Arabidopsis thaliana: one gene and its partners. The protein of the gene in region 1 interacts with the protein of each later gene in a pairwise test. Each region holds a gene or a part of one and is shown in the gene's direction. Other genes may lie near its edges.

Evidence for each region.
Region 2: the proteins of AT5G23280 (region 1) and AT2G40260 interact in a two-hybrid assay, tested with the Arabidopsis thaliana proteins (one large-scale study listed by BioGRID).
Region 3: the proteins of AT5G23280 (region 1) and NAC028 interact in a two-hybrid assay, tested with the Arabidopsis thaliana proteins (one large-scale study listed by BioGRID).
Region 4: the proteins of AT5G23280 (region 1) and PYE interact in a two-hybrid assay, tested with the Arabidopsis thaliana proteins (one large-scale study listed by BioGRID).

What each region holds. Positions count from the first base shown.
Region 1 is NC_003076.8:7,840,486-7,845,350, forward strand, and holds AT5G23280 (TCP family transcription factor), read left to right. Parts: upstream 1-2,121; 5' UTR 2,122-2,531; coding exon 2,532-3,284; 3' UTR 3,285-4,164; downstream 4,165-4,865. Other genes in the region: STP11 (sugar transporter 11), read left to right, coding at 1-389.
Region 2 is NC_003071.7:16,815,786-16,820,740, reverse strand, and holds AT2G40260 (Homeodomain-like superfamily protein), read left to right. Parts: upstream 1-2,010; 5' UTR 2,011-2,267; coding exon 2,268-2,586; exon of another isoform or gene 2,587-2,710; coding exon 2,711-2,787; intron 2,788-2,881; coding exon 2,882-2,918; intron 2,919-3,043; coding exon 3,044-3,146; intron 3,147-3,226; coding exon 3,227-3,923; 3' UTR 3,924-4,211; downstream 4,212-4,955.
Region 3 is NC_003070.9:24,520,125-24,526,310, reverse strand, and holds NAC028 (NAC domain containing protein 28), read left to right. Parts: upstream 1-2,050; 5' UTR 2,051-2,202; coding exon 2,203-2,359; intron 2,360-3,270; coding exon 3,271-3,548; intron 3,549-3,625; coding exon 3,626-3,958; intron 3,959-4,068; coding exon 4,069-4,440; intron 4,441-4,538; coding exon 4,539-4,629; intron 4,630-4,713; coding exon 4,714-5,378; 3' UTR 5,379-5,643; downstream 5,644-6,186. Other genes in the region: AT1G65920 (Regulator of chromosome condensation (RCC1) family with FYVE zinc finger domain-containing protein), read left to right, coding at 1-191, 277-423, 506-867, 957-1,044.
Region 4 is NC_003074.8:17,565,157-17,570,238, forward strand, and holds PYE (basic helix-loop-helix (bHLH) DNA-binding superfamily protein), read left to right. Parts: upstream 1-1,969; 5' UTR 1,970-2,046; exon of another isoform or gene 2,047-2,048; intron 2,049-2,319; exon of another isoform or gene 2,320-2,537; intron 2,538-2,689; 5' UTR 2,690-2,721; intron 2,722-2,838; 5' UTR 2,839-2,878; coding exon 2,879-2,937; intron 2,938-3,027; coding exon 3,028-3,131; intron 3,132-3,239; coding exon 3,240-3,367; intron 3,368-3,513; coding exon 3,514-3,945; 3' UTR 3,946-4,229; downstream 4,230-5,082. Other genes in the region: AT3G47630 (translocator assembly/maintenance protein), read right to left, coding at 1-6; AT3G47650 (DnaJ/Hsp40 cysteine-rich domain superfamily protein), read left to right, coding at 4,420-4,587, 4,683-4,749, 4,832-4,928, 5,028-5,082.

The sequences.
Region 1 (4,865 bases):
TTGATGCGGATATAATCTTGGCACTGATATGTCTCTATGTGGCGGGTTTCGCGTGGTCATGGGGACCGTTGGGATGGTTAGTGCCGAGTGAGATATGTCCATTGGAAATTAGATCAGCAGGACAATCGTTAAACGTTTCGGTGAACATGTTCTTTACATTCTTCATTGGACAATTCTTCTTGACGATGCTTTGCCATATGAAGTTTGGTTTGTTCTATTTCTTCGCGGGTATGGTCTTGATCATGACCATTTTCATTTACTTCTTGTTGCCGGAGACAAAAGGTGTTCCGATTGAGGAGATGGGGAAAGTGTGGAAAGAGCATAGATATTGGGGGAAATATAGTAATAATGATGATGGTGATGATGTTGATGATGATGCTTATTTTTAGTTGATGATTATTTGGGATTTAAGGATATGTTAGGATTAAAAACTTATTATTGAGAAAATGCTTATACTGACCAATGTGAGAAAATAAAAATGAGGATATAATAAACAAGTGTACATAATTTGAGGATTTATGACCGTACTTAAAATTACTCGAAACTTCTTGAACTAAAAATAATATAAATTTTTTGTTTAGACTAAAATGATCATTTTTTACGATAAAGATACATGTCGAGTAATTATTAAGAGTATCCAAATTATCCGTTTGAATTGTTAAAATATTTAAAATTATTATAATTTTCCGGCTACTAAAAATTCTCTAACACTTCACAAGATTATTAAAAAAAACTCTCTCTCTCTATTTGTACTTAAAATAACCCAAATTTGACCCATTCTCATTTGGATAGCGATTTTTAAATTATTGAATTTATCTACCATATCATATCTTATCAGTTGTTTCCAAAACTTAGAAGTGAAATTAAATTGGTTATTTATTTTTGTTTGTAACATAACTAAATCAACCATCAAGTCAATCTCGAACAAACAATTGTTATCATCCATTATCCAATATTAATTACTTTTTTGTTTTGTTTTGTTACAAGTGAATACTATTCACATGATTTATAAATTAGTATTATTATTCACTCCACAACATTTTGTATCAGATTAGGTTTCAAGTTTATAGTTACACAAAAAATGGATTCCGAAATCTTTTAGATTAAAAAAAAAAAGGATCAAAAGTTCAAGGTACACAATCTTTTTATAAAACTGCCGACATGATGCCATATCGCTCATGATTGCATTTATTTTTTTGCATTAGCTCACAAGAATGTTAAAAATTAACGATAAGAAAATCCATTTAATTAGGGGGTACGAGTACGAAAATAATTAAAACAAATATTAGCGTTTGGTGGTGCATAACTCAGCATAAGTCATAAAATAAATTGTTGTCACGATATGTGAAGAAAATCTCGTTGCGATGAGACGAACGACATAAAGAAAATCTTGCGTATCTGACAAGTGGACTAATCCACTTATTTTCAATGTCAGTCTCAAAATGGGAGTTATTAAAATTAATGTTCGTTCTTTTTATTTTATACACACATTTATTTTATATATATATTTATATTATATACAGTAAAACCTCTATAAATTAATAACATTAAAACCATAATATTTTTAATTTATAGTACTATTAATTTAAATGTCTTTGGGTATTTTAGTTGGCAAAACTCAACTAATTACAGGTAACTTTCTTTTGTGATGTCGACAAAAGAATTCTGAATAATTTTTAAGGGTTTCGATTTTTGCCATTTCACGTAAAACACGTGATACTGGGCTACTGGCATTTACGGCAGAGTAACTGGTGGCAAATATTATTACCAATATACTATAAACAAATAAATAAAAAGAACAAACACTAGTATTAAATTTTGATTGTTTTATAACTCAATTAAGTTTTGATGTCAAAGTCTACTTACCAATCAATTACCTCACTGATTTGTCTCCTTTTCAATCTTTTCGATTGTTTTATGGAAACAGCTTTCTAAAAAAGATTAATTTTCACGTAATCACAAAACAAATGTTCACATTAGCCCAAATCTAATAACCACATTAGGTTGGTCCCAAAAATTTAAAAACAAAAAAAAACTTTTTTAGACAGAGAGACCAACTTCAATACATTTAGTTTCATGTATTTTAAATAAGATTAGTATCTTCGTGTTAATTTCCAAATTCAAGCTTATAGTAAGTTAGTAATAATGTATATAATGACGTGGCAAAGGATAAATGTCTCTTTAAATGCACGTAGCAGCCGGAGGAGTGACCCACCTACCTAGTGTTAAATTCTCCTGCCGGAGTTTGGTCCCCACGCGACCTTCTTCTTCACCGGAGTAATAACGCGCGTGAGCTCCACCGCGTCGGGACAAAACTAATGTCCTCTCAAAAAAGCAAAAAAAAAAAGAGAAAAAAAACCAGAGATGGTGAGCTGTGTGAAAAGGACCCCACCACACCCATGTGCTTCTCCTTCCTGTCTCCACCAGCTCCCTCCTTCTCAATCATTAGCTTCTTCTCTTCTCTTCTCTCACAGAGAGAGTAATCACAAGCCAAGTGAGAAAAAGAAAACACTAAACCCAGATCGAAAACCATGTCTATTAACAACAACAACAACAACAACAACAATAACAACGATGGTCTTATGATCTCATCAAACGGAGCTTTAATCGAACAACAACCATCAGTCGTTGTGAAGAAACCACCGGCGAAAGATCGACATAGCAAAGTCGATGGAAGAGGGAGAAGAATCCGTATGCCGATTATATGTGCTGCTCGTGTTTTTCAGCTAACGAGAGAGCTTGGTCATAAGTCAGATGGCCAAACAATTGAATGGTTACTTCGTCAAGCAGAGCCTTCTATTATAGCTGCAACAGGAACTGGTACAACTCCAGCGAGTTTCTCAACTGCTTCTGTCTCTATCCGTGGAGCCACCAATTCTACTTCTTTAGATCATAAACCCACTTCTTTACTTGGTGGTACGTCACCGTTTATACTTGGGAAACGTGTTAGAGCTGATGAGGATAGTAATAATAGTCATAATCATAGTTCTGTTGGTAAAGATGAGACCTTTACGACAACACCAGCTGGGTTTTGGGCTGTTCCGGCGAGGCCGGATTTTGGACAAGTTTGGAGTTTTGCTGGAGCTCCACAAGAGATGTTTTTACAACAACAACATCATCATCAGCAACCATTGTTTGTTCATCAGCAACAGCAACAACAAGCTGCAATGGGTGAAGCTTCTGCTGCTAGAGTTGGGAATTATCTTCCGGGTCATCTTAATTTGCTTGCTTCTTTATCCGGTGGATCTCCCGGGTCGGATCGAAGAGAGGAAGATCCACGTTAATGGTTTAAGCCCTTTTAGGTTTGAGGGCAAAATTTGGTATATATATTTATTATCTTCTCTTCTCTATTGTTGTCATTGTTTCTCTATGTGTGTGTTTTAGTGTTGTTAGAGATTGATTTGGTTTCAGAATCTCTGCAAGTGATTTGAGAGTTTTCGTTAGCTTTAAGTAAGTTAAAGACGGTTGTTTTTGATTAGGGTTAAATTAGGGTTTAAGAATCTGTTGTTTTTTTGGAGGGAGATCGATTTCTTATCGGATCCAAGATTACTTTTAGGAAAAAAGGGAAAATTTCAGAAACCACGGTGGTTTCTTTTCCTCTTTTTTTTTTTGTGTCTGTTTTTTTTTTCCGGTGAAACAGAGCCGTCGATTAAAATTTCAGATATATATTTAAATGTTTTAATATGGTTTGTTGTTGTTGTTGCTAATTGTGTAATGTGTTACAACAATTGTGGTGAAGCATTTGCGTAAGCTGTTAACCACGTTTATTTCTAATAAATGTTTCGAATTCATATTGTTCCTTCCTTCTCTGCATTTATTGATACACAAAAAGCTTTATGTGATAGTGATTGTTTCGTTGAAATCGAACCGGATGATGGATTTTTGAACAGAATCATAATAATCTCTTATTTTTTTAGTGGATATATGTATGAATTGTGGATTTTGAGATGCTATTTATTTTTGGCGTTTCGCGTCTTGATTTAATGCAAGAACTGAACAGAGGATTTAGTAAGAAAAAGAGACAAACCAGTTGTGTCTGAATTCTTCAATTTTGTTGCCTTTTTGTTTCATATGAATCTTTGTACTGTGCTTTTGGAAGTTTGGTTTGTCACGTTAGTCAGAGAAATATTAAATTTAAGTACTGTTAAAACTATATGGCGACATGATATCTTTAAATTAATTGTCTATATTTTTGTTCTAGAAACTGTTACAATTTGAAAGATTAAAGGTGTTAGAATTGTCTCTTCTCTTGTTTGAGATTAGCTATCTAAAAAAATGTGGGTGATACACTCGAACATGAGTTCAAATGGTTGTTTTAATTTTGGCAAAAACCATTTTCACTGTTGTAATAATTTGGACTATCAAAAAAGTAAATTTTATTTTAACCCCTGATATAGTATAATTTCTTATGCAAAGTATATTTAAGGTACAAATAGCATAGATTCAATGATTTCGTTTGTGGTTTTCACAGCTATATATCTGCTGAGTAATGTATTTAACCAATAATTTATTTATCACGATAATACCTGATGAATAAATGTCAAAGTGATTAGATAGGCTTCTTTAGACTATTTAGGTCACACTAACCAATCAAAAGAATCAAACAAATTTTCTCATTAAAATAAGAATCCATTAATGGAAAGATCTTAACAAAAAGTTGGTGTTTTTTCTTTCTTAATTAGGTCTTAGTAATTAACACTTAGCTATATAATGTAATGCAAATAATTATAGGTGGGGGATCTTTGTAATCAACTCGTATCAATAAAACATCCGTACCTTTTATTGTCGAATCATCTAAATGACCCCAACACCAATAATTGATATGGTCCCAATTATTTTCTACCGAAAAATAATTTCTATAGGCT
Region 2 (4,955 bases), on another chromosome or scaffold:
TTGAAGTACAATTATATAATATATTACTTGAATTTTCTTCGGTCTAGTGTACACTGCGTATATAGTTTCTACAATCTCAGATCTTCAGTTCAAACCCTATATTATAAAAAAGTTATAGCCTTATAGGTACCGAAATTTTAAAAGTTGAGAGACATAAAACACGAAGACTTTGGTCCACGCTTAGAATTTGATTGGTTCATTTCATATATGTGTCAAGGAAAATGAATTAGCATAGTGTCGTGGTCAATTTCAACGGATTATATAACTTAGTAAATCAATACCGTAGTTAATATACCCTTTTTTTGTCAATACCGTGATTGATATTAATACTTAGCATTTGGTATCTGTTGGGTCGTATAATTGATCATGGGTTGTCTGAGCATGGAAGTAGGATTATAGGGTAGATATGAAGAACGTCATTCTAACGTAAATTATTATTGCTACACTTTTAAAACCAAAATATACGACAGCTTTAATTCTTCCTACCAATTAATAACGACGACGAAAATATACGATTACGGCTGGACATTGGGCTTCCAAAAACGATTTTGAAAAAAAAAAAAAAAACAGAAAGAAATGTCATATACCTAATTTATTTGACCGATGACTTTCACATTATCTGGTCACCATTCACAAAATTTGACACAGTACTTGCATGTCGCTTACAAGAAAAATTAGCCTGCTGATGTTAGAGGAATACAGATAGATACAATTCTGCCTTGACCCTCTCCTGGAGGCGCAAAGTTCATGACAATAAGTAAATCATATATTATACATTTTAATTTTCTCCTTTCTAAGTTCTTAAAAAAGTATGACATCCCCTACTTTGCCTACTTCCTTAATTTCACAAAAATAAAAGTATGACATACTTAATTAGAACATATCTTTTGTTTAGTATTTTACTAGTAATTTTAATAGTACGTACGCTATATAGAACGAACTAATCACCCCTGAACTGAATTCCAAACTAAATCAATTGGTTGCATGTGTGTACGTACAGAAACTCATATAATTCTCAAGTTCAATTCTGTGATAATCATGTGACTTATTAGCTTCAGTTGTTATATTCTGTATCCTAATTTATTTATTTATTTTTTAACATTTATTTGGGTTATATATAGAAAAAGAGATGTACTATTTGCATGTATATAGAGAGAGGCGCATGTGTAGATAATTATAGATAATATGAAATCGTAAGAGTAGTGGAGATGGAGACAAACCCGTGATTGTCGTTGGTGACAGAAACAAGTAGTAATATTTTCTTCTCGTGTCTTTCAGTGAAGACAGCCCAGCCAAGCACCTTTTAACTTCTGTCTGATTCCTCTCTCTATGCTCTTTCTCTGTCTATCTATCTAATTATGCTTTTGGGTTTCTTCTTTTTCTGGTTTCACAGCTTTGGCTTTGAAGTCACGAGCCCATCCCCCTAACCATCCCCTTTTATGCTTTGCTTTTCTAGTCAATTTAATTCATGAGTTGTAACGATGGAAGAAGTTTCATTTATCTAATTAATGTGTATGCCTCATTAATGTTGCCTTCTTCCTATATTGCTAAAAGCTAGTTCGAATGAAACAAAAACACGTACCAAATCCAATGAAAAACATAGATCTTCAGTTGGTTTTGAAAGAAAGAACAAAAAAAATTGTTAATGTACATGTCATATTGAACCCTGATTTATGTCATAAAATTGGTATACGTACGGGTTGATATCATGAAAACGTTTGATCTTTTACCATGAAAATGATCATTATTTAGATAAATTCAATCTACTCCTTGGAATTTCTTTTCACTCCCTATCACAACGAGATTCAAAGATTAATTGTACTAATTGACTTAATAGTTATTAACTCATTTTAAAATACATCTTATGACTGAAGTTACTAATGTTTAATGAAATTAAAAGTACCATTTTTGTCATGAGGTGTAATTCTAGATCTATCTTTCCCTAAGATGTATATAACTGTAGAAAAAACCATTGGTGTAATAAAAAGCTATATATTAAATAGAATTTAGAATATCCGTTGCCATCATATACATATTTCAACATATATGTTGAGTTGGAGAGAGAGGGGGAGAAAAAGGAATGATGGATACAAGCATCCAAAAAGTCATACACATAGACCATCAAAAGTCTTCACCTTAAATTCCTAACACATATGTATGAGTGTGTGATCTTTGTTTGATCTTTGTCCAGAGAACTCCAAGATAGACCAAAAAGGTTCAACCTCAAAACAAACAACACAAAAACAGCCAAATAGCTAGAGACCAAGATGAGATCAAGCAGCCAAAATTCTGAAAACTCCAAGACTTGTCTATCTAACAACATCAAAGCAACCACCAAGAATGAAGAAGATAAAGATGAAGAGGATGATGAAGAAGGCGAAGAGGATGAAGAAGAGAGATCTGGAGATCAGAGCCCATCTAGCAATAGCTATGAGGAAGAGAGTGGGAGTCACCACCATGATCAGAACAAGAAGAATGGAGGATCCGTGAGGCCGTACAACCGCTCAAAGACTCCGAGGCTGCGATGGACGCCGGAGCTCCATATTTGCTTTCTTCAAGCTGTGGAGAGATTGGGTGGCCCAGATAGTTGAGTTTCAATTATATATATGAATCAATATCAAGATCATTGCATATGTGAAGATCTCTAAATTTCTAGGGTTTTCTTGTTGATATTTATTTGGGGTCTCTTTCAATGATTTTGTTGAAACAGGAGCAACACCGAAGCTTGTTCTCCAATTGATGAACGTCAAGGGGCTAAGTATTGCCCATGTTAAGAGTCATCTTCAGGTTTTGCAAATATCCACATACACATAGAGTATATATCTATATACATCATTGAGATCTTCATCTGAAATCATACTTCATTTTTTTTTCTTCTTAGATGTACAGAAGCAAGAAGACCGATGAGCCTAATGAAGGTAGTTTACTTAGCTTTCTTCTACCTTCTGATTTAAGTTAGGGCTTCTATAAATCTTATAATTGAATTCGACGAGAAATTGACTAATTCTTGTCTCTCGTGTTTTATCTTTTCTTATAACTACAGGAGATCAAGGATTTTCGTTTGAACACGGAGCTGGTTACACTTACAACCTTAGCCAACTTCCAATGCTACAAAGTTTTGATCAAAGGCCTTCTTCTAGTTTAGGGTATTTACAAACTCTTCAGCTAGCTATCTTTAAACTATAAGTTAAAATTACGTGTGTGTAACTTGGAATGTATTCAATAGATATGGTGGTGGTTCGTGGACTGACCACAGACGACAGATCTACCGTAGCCCTTGGAGAGGATTAACGACACGAGAAAATACAAGAACAAGACAAACAATGTTTAGCTCACAGCCTGGTGAGAGATATCACGGAGTTAGCAATAGTATTCTTAACGATAAGAACAAAACTATTTCATTTCGAATCAATTCTCATGAAGGGGTTCATGATAACAATGGAGTAGCTGGAGCTGTTCCAAGAATTCATAGAAGTTTTCTTGAAGGTATGAAAACGTTTAACAAATCATGGGGACAGAGCCTCTCTTCCAATCTTAAGTCCTCCACCGCAACAATACCACAAGATCATATTGCTACAACGCTAAATTCTTATCAATGGGAGAATGCTGGAGTGGCAGAAGGATCAGAGAATGTTTTGAAGAGGAAGAGGTTATTATTTTCTGATGACTGCAATAAGTCAGACCAAGATTTGGATCTAAGCTTGTCCCTTAAGGTACCTCGGACACACGACAATCTTGGAGAATGCTTGTTAGAAGATGAAGTAAAAGAACATGATGATCATCAAGATATCAAGAGTTTGTCTCTTTCGTTATCATCTTCAGGTTCATCAAAACTCGACCGAACCATTAGGAAAGAAGATCAAACTGATCACAAAAAGAGAAAGATTTCGGTCTTGGCAAGTCCCCTTGATCTCACTCTGTGAATATGTATAACAACTTATATACGTATATTCTAAGTGAGATCTTGTGGTACTTGTTGATGGAAGACGGTTCTGTATTGTTGTTTATCATTCGTTGCATACTTGTGACAAGACCCATAATTAAGGAAATAATAGAGACATTTTTTAATGTTTTTTATTAAAAAAAAATTCACATAATTTTGTCGAGATCGTTAAATGCATATTTTAAAATATATATGATTTGTGATCGAGTTGGGAGCAGAAATTTGTTTTCTTCTAAATAGTATAGTAACCAAGAAATACATTAGTGAGAGTCTATATATATGGTTTTGAGAGTTACAAGACATTGCACGTTGTCTATAAGCTTGTCTAGACGTTGCAATGTATATGTAGTTTACTCTCACATAACAAGTATCCTAAGCAATATTTTTGTTTTAACATGGAGATATTGTCTGAAAATTTATACGTTAACGTCAAATCAGTGAATACAAGAAAAGAAGATGAAGACTTCCGAGTCATAGCTTTCTGAGCTATAGCATTATTATTTTTATAAAGACGAGTTTTTGCCTTCTTCAAAATCGTTTTATAAATTATTCTATGTTTTAGATTTGTAGTTGAAATTATATGAAAGGTCCGTTAATTTAAAAATCAGGTCTGCTGAATGTTTTGTTTGTATTAAAAAAACAAAAAAAAAAAAACAAATCGGTTCTGATAACCAACCAAAGTTTATTTTAATTTAGTTGCGAGGTTAATTAAGAAAAAAAGAAGACACTTTCTTTAAGAGAAAATTGGAGAGAACGACAAGAAGACAGATGTACTTGACATAGAGATATGTCTTGATCTCCTCGATAGACAACAAGCTAGTATCTGTTATTCGCATATAATCGTTTCTTATCATCTTGGGCCTTGAATAAGATTTGGCTATATGTATTATATATTTGGGAATTTTTTCATATTTCCAGAGAATCAAAACTATGGAAAGTTTTTGTTGTTTTATGTCTACTCACATGTGCCTTTGTTGTATCATTCCATATTGTTAAGTCAAAGATATTTGTA
Region 3 (6,186 bases), on another chromosome or scaffold:
ATCGATCTTCGGATGGACAGCCTCGATGGGGACAAGTCTCTGGTCCTTCTCTGTTTCGTTTCGATAAGATTTCGACAAGTTCTTCTTTGAATCTTTCAGTCTCAGCAAGGCGAACATCTTCAACGAAGATTTCAACCTCGTCTGAGTCGAATAAGATCTTAACCGAAGAAATCGAAAGGCTAAAAGCCGTGGTAATTAAACTACTTCTTTTTGTTTTCTTACCTGTAACAATAGTAACACATTAGACACTAAAGATACATTTTTATGAACATGTAGATAAAAAATCTCCAGAGGCAGTGTGAACTTGGCAATGAGAAGATGGAAGAATGTCAACAAGAGCTCGACAAGACATGGGAAGTTGCTAAAGAAGAAGCAGAGAAATCGAAAGCTGCTAAAGAGATAATAAAAGCCTTGGCATCGAAGGTAAAAGATACATAGTTTTTTTTAATCTTTCTGTTTTTGGTTTGTTATGTGACCGACATTTTCACGGTATCTTTGCTTGCAGCTCCAAGCGAATAAAGAGAAACCGAGTAATCCTCTGAAGACCGGCATTGCATGCAATCCTTCTCAAGTCTCACCAATCTTTGATGACTCAATGTCCATTCCATACCTCACACCAATCACCACAGCTCGTTCACAACACGAAACCAAACAACATGTAGAGAAATGTGTCACGAAATCCTCGAACCGTGACAGCAACATTAAGCTATTAGTAGATGCATCGCCAGCCATCACAAGAACAGGGTATCTCCAAAACGAAACACAAGACTCGTCAGCAGAACAAGTTGAGCAATACGAGCCCGGTGTATATATAACTTTCACGGCCTTGCCTTGCGGTCAGAAGACGCTTAAACGCGTACGGTTTAGGTAAAAAAATGTTAATGTGCTTTTAAGTGTTTATATAGTTTGAAGTACGCTTAAGTATTTATATGATTGGTTTCTAACTTTGGTTGCAGTCGGAAGAGGTTTTCAGAGAAGGAAGCACAAAGATGGTGGGAAGAGAAGCAGGTTTTGGTCTATAACAAGTATGATGCTGAAATATGAAACTAACTTTTGAGTTTACTTCTTCGAATGTATTTTAATTCATTTTGATGTTTGTTAGTGAATATATGTAATGCAGAAAAATTTCTTTATTTAAGAAAAAATGAAAAAAAAATACTGGGAAAAAAATTCCAATATATGATTAATAAAAATATTTTAATGATCATCTAGGAAATATATATGCGAGTTAAGAAAAATGTTTGTGATTTTGAGCAATGAAGAAGACTTGCATAGTATGTAAATGTAAGTAGAAATATATCTAACATGCTATCTTCAAAATGCGATTGGTTCAATATTACCATTGAGGCATTGACCACGAGATAGAAAATAAAATGATGTATATCAAATATAAAACTTTCATTCTATATTATAGAAAACGTAATAATTGACTATGAAATGTGGCTTAAAATGTGTGAAAACAGTGAGAAAGCATCTCAAAAATTAACAACGTAAAAAATAGTTTACTTATTATGTTTTCTTAAAACCTTACATTAAGTTCTAGTTGTTGAAAATTCCTTATAAATATGTCAAATATGTCACGTCCTTACGTTGGTCGATGCCAAAAAATATGACGAGCAAAAGTTATTAACTAGTATAGGTTTATACATATATATCCGTTTTTACAAGCAAAAATAGTTATCAAATTGTCTTTAATTGGTTACTTTTAATATTTTCACTAGGAGCAAAACTGATAAATGAAATTGACAAATATCTAGTCTATATGCATAAACACGTTACGCATGGATGAACAAAAATAAACATGTTTAGATGAATTATAATGAACGTGAGTTTTCCAACATTGAACATGATACCGAAAAAGCTTATTAAGAACGTTACTGAGAATCAAATTTACACGGAAATATATAAACACATTAAAGTAAAAAGAAAAGTTAAAGTGGAAAATATGTTGTGGGGTTTGCAATTGGCAACCGACCCTAAATGCTTTTTCCAGCTTCTTTTACATAATTTTAATCTCTTTTTGTCTTTCTTACAATTTCATCACTGATCGATCGAATTCAAACCCTTATGTTACGCTTCTTTCTTATATAACTGTCTCTTCATATTCTCACTCCTTCTCCTCCCTCTTCTCCTTTTTCTCTCTTAAGTTCTATAAATGTTCATATTTGTTTCTAGCTAAGAAGTTTGTATAAGGCAGTGGACATGGCTCCTGTTTCAATGCCTCCAGGTTTCCGGTTTCATCCAACAGACGAAGAGCTTGTCATATACTACCTCAAGCGAAAGATTAATGGTCGGACTATTGAGTTAGAGATAATACCCGAGATTGATCTTTACAAATGCGAACCTTGGGATTTACCTGGTATATTTCTCTCTTTGCTTCTTTTTTTTCTTTTTCATAAGATGCAAATCTATCATTTTTTTTGGTCATCCGCAAGTATTTACCATGGACGAAGGTATAAATTTATGATTCTGCATCGTTAGTACATCAACATGTTGTGTCTCATGTTAAAGAAATTTTAAATGAGACCATACCATAGCAACCGAAGGAGAAGACTCTATCTGGTTCTTTTCTAATATGTCATAATCATTTGATTGATATGCTTAGTGTAAGATCATTTTTTTTTGGAATTTAGTAAGAATAACGAAAAATAGATTCATTTTTCTGAAAACTACATAATGTGAAACTAATGTTTGAAAGGGTAACCCTTGAGAGAAGAGACACTTGACGTCCTTTCTTTTTCGAAGATAGATGTTCTTTCCCTCTTTTTCCTTAACATAATATAATTCCCATTTTATTTTCACATTTTTACGTACCAAGTTATGTATCTCTAGTCACGCATCGAACTTGGAATCGAACGTGAATGCTTTATCAACTAAATAATCTTTAATAATTATGATCCCAACTTTATGTTAGAATAAAATTTAAATGGACCCACCCTTATCTTTAGTCTTTAAAAGGATTGTAATAAAACCGAGAGATGCGGTGGTGACTAGTGTGAGACAAATTCGGAAGACCGAGTCAAAAAAGGTAAGAAGATTGAAAAAAAAAGATAATAAGTAACTCACAATAATTTCACATGTGCTTTAGGGTTTTGGAAGCTTCTCATTCACCTTCAACTTTTTGTTTTAAATATAAAACAATCTAATGTTCTCTTTATTTGTCTTTTCTTTTTTAATCTTTTGGATTCTCATGACATGTTATGGAATCTTTAAGTAGTGTGTACAAATTAAGATTGGATATAATTTATCTTAATTGTATGATCCTTGCAGGGAAGTCCTTGCTGCCAAGTAAAGACCTAGAATGGTTCTTTTTCAGTCCTCGAGACCGGAAATATCCAAACGGATCAAGAACAAACCGGGCGACCAAAGCAGGTTACTGGAAAGCCACCGGGAAAGATCGTAAAGTGACTTCACATTCACGGATGGTTGGAACAAAGAAAACATTAGTTTATTACCGAGGAAGAGCGCCTCATGGCTCTCGTACCGATTGGGTCATGCACGAGTACCGTCTTGAAGAACAAGAATGTGACTCTAAATCCGGTATACAGGTAAGCTAACTTTTAAAAAGGTTATCAAAAGATTAAGATTCTTAACTTGAATATAAACCAATGTATAAACATTTCAGGATGCCTATGCACTTTGTCGAGTATTTAAGAAGAGTGCTTTAGCCAACAAAATTGAAGAACAACACCATGGTACGAAGAAGAACAAAGGAACGACTAATAGTGAACAATCTACTTCTAGTACTTGTTTGTATTCTGATGGAATGTATGAAAACCTCGAAAACTCGGGGTATCCAGTCTCACCTGAGACAGGAGGCTTAACTCAACTCGGTAATAATTCGTCGTCGGATATGGAAACGATAGAGAATAAATGGAGTCAGTTTATGTCGCATGACACGTCCTTCAACTTCCCACCTCAGTCTCAATATGGAACAATCTCATATCCTCCCTCGAAGGTAAAATTTAAACTATATATCTCAAAGAAATACAAAATTAAAATTGGTGAATATGTAACCTTTTGTTTTCAAACTAATCTCTTATCCATTGAATTCTCCTCATATAATAGGTTGATATAGCGTTAGAGTGTGCAAGACTACAAAATCGTATGTTGCCACCAGTACCACCACTTTACGTAGAAGGTCTCACACACAATGAATATTTTGGAAACAATGTAGCTAACGATACAGATGAAATGTTGAGCAAGATTATAGCATTGGCTCAAGCCTCACATGAGCCACGAAACAGTCTAGACTCATGGGACGGTGGTTCTGCTTCCGGGAACTTCCATGGAGACTTTAACTATTCCGGAGAAAAAGTCTCATGCCTAGAGGCGAACGTGGAGGCTGTAGATATGCAAGAACACCATGTGAATTTTAAGGAAGAAAGACTTGTTGAAAACTTGAGATGGGTAGGAGTATCAAGCAAGGAACTTGAAAAGGTAGTGATATTTTACAATGTTAAGTGCAAAATATTTTATGTGTTAATATATATGTTATCAAATATAAGTATATGTTTGATTTATTCTACAAATTTCAGAGCTTCGTTGAAGAACACTCAACGGTAATTCCTATAGAAGATATTTGGAGATATCATAATGATAATCAAGAACAAGAACATCATGATCAAGGTAGCTTTCACTTCGCGATTTCTACATTTGGTTGTCTTTCTTGACATCTCTGGATTTGATTTTTTTGTTTTGTTGTTGTTGAAGATGGTATGGACGTTAACAACAACAATGGAGATGTGGATGATGCTTTCACACTCGAGTTTTCGGAAAACGAACATAACGAGAATCTTTTGGACAAGAACGATCATGAGACAACGAGTTCCTCATGTTTTGAGGTGGTAAAAAAAGTTGAGGTTAGCCATGGATTGTTTGTCACAACTCGTCAGGTAACCAACACATTCTTCCAACAGATAGTACCATCGCAAACCGTTATAGTTTATATAAATCCGACGGATGGCAATGAGTGTTGTCATAGTATGACATCAAAAGAGGAGGTTCATGTCCGTAAAAAGATAAATCCGCGAATCAACGGAGTAAGCTCAACAGTTCTTGGACAATGGAGAAAATTCGCGCATGTTATTGGCTTCATTCCTATGCTTCTATTGATGCGTTGTGTTCATCGAGGTAACTCTAACAAAAACAGAGGCAGTGAAGGTTACTCGAGGCAGCCTACGAGAGGAGATTGTAACAATCGGGGAACAATACTCATGATGGAAAATGCTGTCGTGAGAAGAAAAATTTGGAAGAAGAAGAAAGAGAAAAATATGGTTGACGAACAAGGTTTTCGGTTTCAAGATAGTTTCGTATTGAAGAAGTTGGGGCTTTCTCTTGCTATCATCTTAGCTGTTTCTACCATAAGTCTTATTTGAATACTGAGGTTCAATATATCATATATGGCTTTTCACTTTTCTATTGTACTCCCATTTGCCTAGGTCGTATTTACTCTCATTTGCTTTTTCCATTTCTCTAAAGTCGTCTAAACAAAACTAGATTTGGTTATTTTCTGTTTATGTATTAAGTGATATGATCTCTCCGCGGGTTGAACGATCAGTCTTCTGTCTGGTTTTTATTATTATTATTATGTTTGCATGCACGTAAGACGGTAAGAGCAGATTATACGAACATTAACAATTTAGCCATCTTGTATTTCAGTATTTTAGTCACTATAGATATGTGAGTAAGTTTATAGTCATTTTCATAATAACTTGTTTATTATAACGATTGCTGTTCCATGTTTTGCAATGTATAGATCATCAAAAATTACTATCGAGCTATTTTGTTCTTGAATCTTGACAGATAATATTTAAGAATAACCTATACGGTTCAAACTGTCGGTTTCAATATTAAAACAAATGTGAATGGAAGATAGAGAGAGGAAAAAAACCTCTCTTACAAAAGAATCTAGGTGCGTCAGAGAAGCTCGCCAATCTCATGGAGCCAAGATTTGCTTTCCTGGCTCTTAATAGTTTGTATGGATCGGCGATTGAAACTTCATTATTCTCTCCCAAACAAAACATAGAATAAACGAATGTGTCTAACGCTGAGTGAAGAGGACTAGACGGACTTGCCCCGTCATAATATGCATATTACGATACGTTGCAACATTAACAATGTCGTGAGTATGCATATCTCATAACATACCAAATATCGATACGTTTCAACATTGAATTTTTAATA
Region 4 (5,082 bases), on another chromosome or scaffold:
TTCCATTCAGACAAAAATAACCCTTGTAATGTATTCAACTGGGCAGACCTATTCAGATGAAGAAACGTAATAAAAAGGTTGCTTCTGATAGATTGGTCAAATTTGATTTCGAGTAATCTAATTAAAGTTTCTACAATTAAGTTCATGATCATTTGATCATTTTGATTTCAGATTGACACAAACCTTGGAAAAAAGGAGAGGAACGAAGCCAGAGGAGGAATTAGGAAGCGTTAGTTGATTTAAGAGGGGAATTGAAGAAGCTTACCTGCGACTGCGAGTGAAGGCGGCGAAGAGCGAGGAAGAACAACAAACGCCGTGAAGCTAGCTTTTTTGGGTTTGGGCCAAACGAGATTAGTTTCTAACAGATGTTTTTCCGGACCCGGACCGGTAATACCCACGATCCGCTTAATTATTTGGTCCCTGTCTAGCTCTAAAATCCCGGTGCAAACGAACCGGCAAAACCAACGACCTAGCGGTTCGGTATTTTGTTTCTGAAATCTGAACCCTCCGATTTGTTCTTCTTTTTTTTTTTCTTTTTATAATGCAAACAATTGATGAAAAAATATATTATGGTCCGAATGGTAACCTCGGTTTTTAATATGTGAGAAAAGTGGTATAACATTGCAGTACAGTTCAATTACGGTACGTGCGAGAAAAATATATTTGCGGGACAAATATGGTTTGTACAAAATAAGCGGTACAGAATAATGTTTGATTGATGAAAAAATTATTTGCGGTGCGGATTATAAATTATATATATATATATATATTAATAATTAATTATTATTTTTGTGTTAATAAATAAGCAATAACATATATTTATAAATTATTAATACATAAATAAATCAAAATATACATTTTTAAAGTTTAACATACATATTATTAAATTCGTTGAATAGTTTCATCATAAAAAATTGAAAAAAAAATCATAATTTTTTACTAGTAAATTGATTATAGAACTTATATAAGCTTATAGTGGATAATAATTGTCAAAATTTCTATAAGTATTATGATATTTCTATTTCTTGTAATTACATTTTCTTAGATTTTAATTAAATAAAAAGAATAAAACTATAATTATTGCATATATATATATATATATATATATATATATATATATATATTAAAGTCCATTAGTTAAGCAAATTGTTATGTCCTACGTATATTTTTTTCTTTTATGCACTAGGTAACTAGTGATTCTGATGCACACATATACTCTCTTTTTTTGTACATATATTTAAATGGGGAAGCTAATGGAAAAAAAATTAAAATTTGCTTAAGTAATGGAGTAATAAACGAGGGATGTGTGTATGGAAGAGGCAAAGGCTGAGAAACTTTTGGTTGGGACGTAGGACATAACAATTTGCTTAAGTAATGGAGTAATGAACGATTTTTTTGTTGGAATGCGGTTTTGAGCAAAAACACTAGGTAAATGATTTTTCTTCTTTTGAAAAGCATTCCAGTGTATTGTTTTTAGGACAAAATTGCAAACTTTTTTCTTTTTTTTTTCGAAAAACGCAAATTTGTTAAAAGTATTGATTGGTAACTGTATTGTAGTTTTAATAAAAAAACAAGAAAACGCCTTTTGTATGTTTCTTAATCACAGTGTATGAATGGTGACATAGACCGCCCCCAAAACCGTACCGTAACTGTAACAGTATAAAAAATCTCTATATATACATATATATCTATGTATTTTTGTTATTATTTGAACCGTCCCATACTTTTTCCGTATCACAAAATACAGTCATCATTCGAACCGCAAAACTATATATAGTATTTCGGTTTTTGAATTCAAAATGAAGGAGAAGAGGAATAGGCAGATTAATATAATTTCGTTATTTCTTTTTAATTTCCTATCTTCAATTTTTCCTCACCCACTGAATTTGACTATGCCATTAAAAATGTGTATACTAATCATCATACCGTCAATAAATAGAGTTTGTGGGAAACACACGACAGACACGTCATCAGCTCTCGACGGCGCGTTTCCATGCCTTTATTATCCTTCACGTTGACCCCACATGCCCCTGTTTTTTTTTTTTGGTGTTCTACGGTATATTTTTGTGAAAATGTTACTTTTCATCTACTCGATAAAATTCTTAAACAGATAGTACAACTTTTTACCCGATTAATCTGTAGAAAATACAATGTTATTTACACTCAACAAACATTTCCATTAATAGAACTTTACCCGATTTAAACCACTCTTCCACTCGATTAATATTATTATTTTATTAATTAAAGATACGATGACGTGTCCATGAGAGATGAGCTTTAGTGGCACGCAACGTAAGAGAAGAAGACAAAAGTAAAAAAGAGAAAGGCACATGTCGAACTCACGTGTCCACTTAAACGCACCACCTTCTTCTGTGCTCTCCACGCGCCTCCACACGCCCTCCTCAACTTCGGACCTTCTTCCTCCAAAAAAAACAATTTCACTCTTCATTTTCTCAGATTCTCTTATTATTTCTTCTACTCGTTTCGAATCCTAATCGTCTACAGTTTCCGACGAGATTCTCACCGGAGAAAGAAAGGTAGTTCTTTTCTCTGAATCTGTTGTGTTGAGAACTTAGCCGTAATTTTTGAGAATTATTCTTCACTATTTGATTTGACAAGAATATGGGTAATAAAGACAGAATCTAAAACACTTGCTTCAGTTTTTGAGGAATCAAAAATCACACGAAAGTTTTTTTTTTTTTTCTGCTCCTATGTTTCTTGGTGCGTTTGTGTTTATTTGACATTAGGAGTGATTGATTGATTATAAAGATGAATGATTTGTTAGATTCATTAAGATCACTGTTCTTTTTGATTAATCATCTTATGTCTAAATTTTAGGTGACTTGACAGAGAATCTTGTTCTGTAATAAAAGCAAAGATGGTATCGAAAACTCCTTCTACATCGTCTGATGAAGCAAATGCTACTGCAGATGAAAGGTGATTCTTAAGGAGACAATTCTTGGAAATAGATTATGGAACCTTTTATTTTTATTTATGGGGATTGATTATGTTTGGTGTATAAAACAGATGTAGAAAAGGTAAAGTACCGAAAAGGATCAACAAGGCCGTTCGTGAGAGGCTTAAGCGTGAGCATTTGAATGAGCTTTTCATTGAATTAGCCGATACTCTTGGTAAATTTCTCATCTTTCCGTAGATTTGAATGAACAATTGCTCGAGTGTGTTGTGATATTTTGAATGTGATTGTGATATCTAACTGTGAACATGTTTCTTTGTTGCAGAACTGAATCAACAGAACAGTGGGAAAGCTTCTATACTATGCGAAGCTACTCGATTCTTGAAGGACGTGTTTGGTCAAATTGAGTCTCTTAGAAAGGAGCATGCTTCTCTCCTATCTGAATCTAGCTATGTAAGTCAATTTCTATATGCACATTGATTGTGTTTATGTATTCTGTGACGTGAATCAACAACTAAGACGAATGTTGCTTCAAGAAGTTACTTCATCTTTGTATTTTTCTAAATGGTCTTGTTGATGGAAACTGGTGTTGTGTGTAGGTAACCACAGAGAAGAATGAGCTCAAGGAAGAAACATCAGTGCTTGAGACTGAGATTTCGAAACTACAAAACGAGATTGAAGCTAGAGCGAATCAGTCGAAACCTGACTTGAACACCTCTCCTGCACCCGAGTACCATCATCATCATTATCAACAACAACATCCTGAACGTGTATCTCAGTTCCCAGGACTTCCCATTTTCCAAGGCCCCGGCTTTCAACAATCTGCTACAACTCTTCATCCTCCTGCAACAGTTCTTGTCCTTCCAATACAACCTGATCCCCAGACACAAGATATCTCAGAAATGACTCAAGCGCAGCAGCCTTTGATGTTTAATAGCTCAAATGTGAGTAAGCCATGTCCAAGGTATGCTAGCGCGGCTGACTCGTGGTCTTCTCGGCTACTTGGAGAGCGGCTGAAAGCCAGTGAATGAGGTCTTGAACGGCTCCACATGGAGTAGCAACGCAAGTTATAAGACATGGCAACTTATGAAGGACTCTGGTTTTGTATTTTTTAATACATCGTTCTGATGTCCTTGTGGGTTTGGCCTTGGCTATTTCTTGTTTTTGATGGTTGTTCATAGGATCAGGAAGTTATGGCCTTGATGGGTCGTTTGAGATAAATAAGTAAATTAGCTCTAACCATTGTCATTTTCTTTTGTCTTAAGATTCTAAAAACACAGAAACAGAACAAAAAAAATCAAATTTCTTTTTAAGAAAAAAGCTTTCTAATGGAAACTAAAATGTGAAATTGGGTTTAAAAGACAAAACCGGTTAATAGGTTTTGGTTTGGATTGGATAAAGAATATGATGGTATTTTGGTAAAATAGGCACTTGAGAAAAAGAGAAGTGAGAGGAGCCATCTTATCTTTGCTATCGAGTGGGTAAGAAGAATCAGAAAACAGAAAATGGCGAATTCACTATGCTTCTTCTCTTCTCCTCCTACCTTTTGCTTCCAATCTCCAAGCAAAAACCCTAAACCTTCTCACTTCTTCTCAACTAATGATAACACCTCTTCCTTGGTACAGAAGAGAGAACTGCTTCAGACTTCAAGATCCCAAAGTTTTGAAGTTAAGGTTAGAATTTTCCCAAACTCTTCTCTTCTCTATAAAATTTGCTTACTTCATTGACCATTTCGTTAATGCAAAATCTCATTCTGTGGTATCAATAGGCCGCAAACAATAATCCTCAGGGCACTAAACCAAACAGTTTAGTTTGTGCAAATTGTGAAGGGGAAGGTAAGTTCTTACCTGTTTTATAATTCTCTTAGTTTTCTACTCCTGAATTGGTTAGTAATTTGATAAAGATGTTTTTTCAAAGGTTGTGTGGCATGTTCTCAATGCAAAGGAGGTGGTGTGAATTTGATTGATCATTTCAATGGTCAGTTTAAAGCTGGTGCACTCTGTTGGCTTTGCAGGTTTGCTACATCTTATATTCTTTCTTCTAATTCTTCCTTCTCCACAACACATACATAAACTCATTACTTAATATATATTTTTACATTTCTTGTGGGCAGAGGTAAAAAGGAGGTGTTGTGTGGGGACTGCAATGGAGCTGGTTTCATTGGTGGG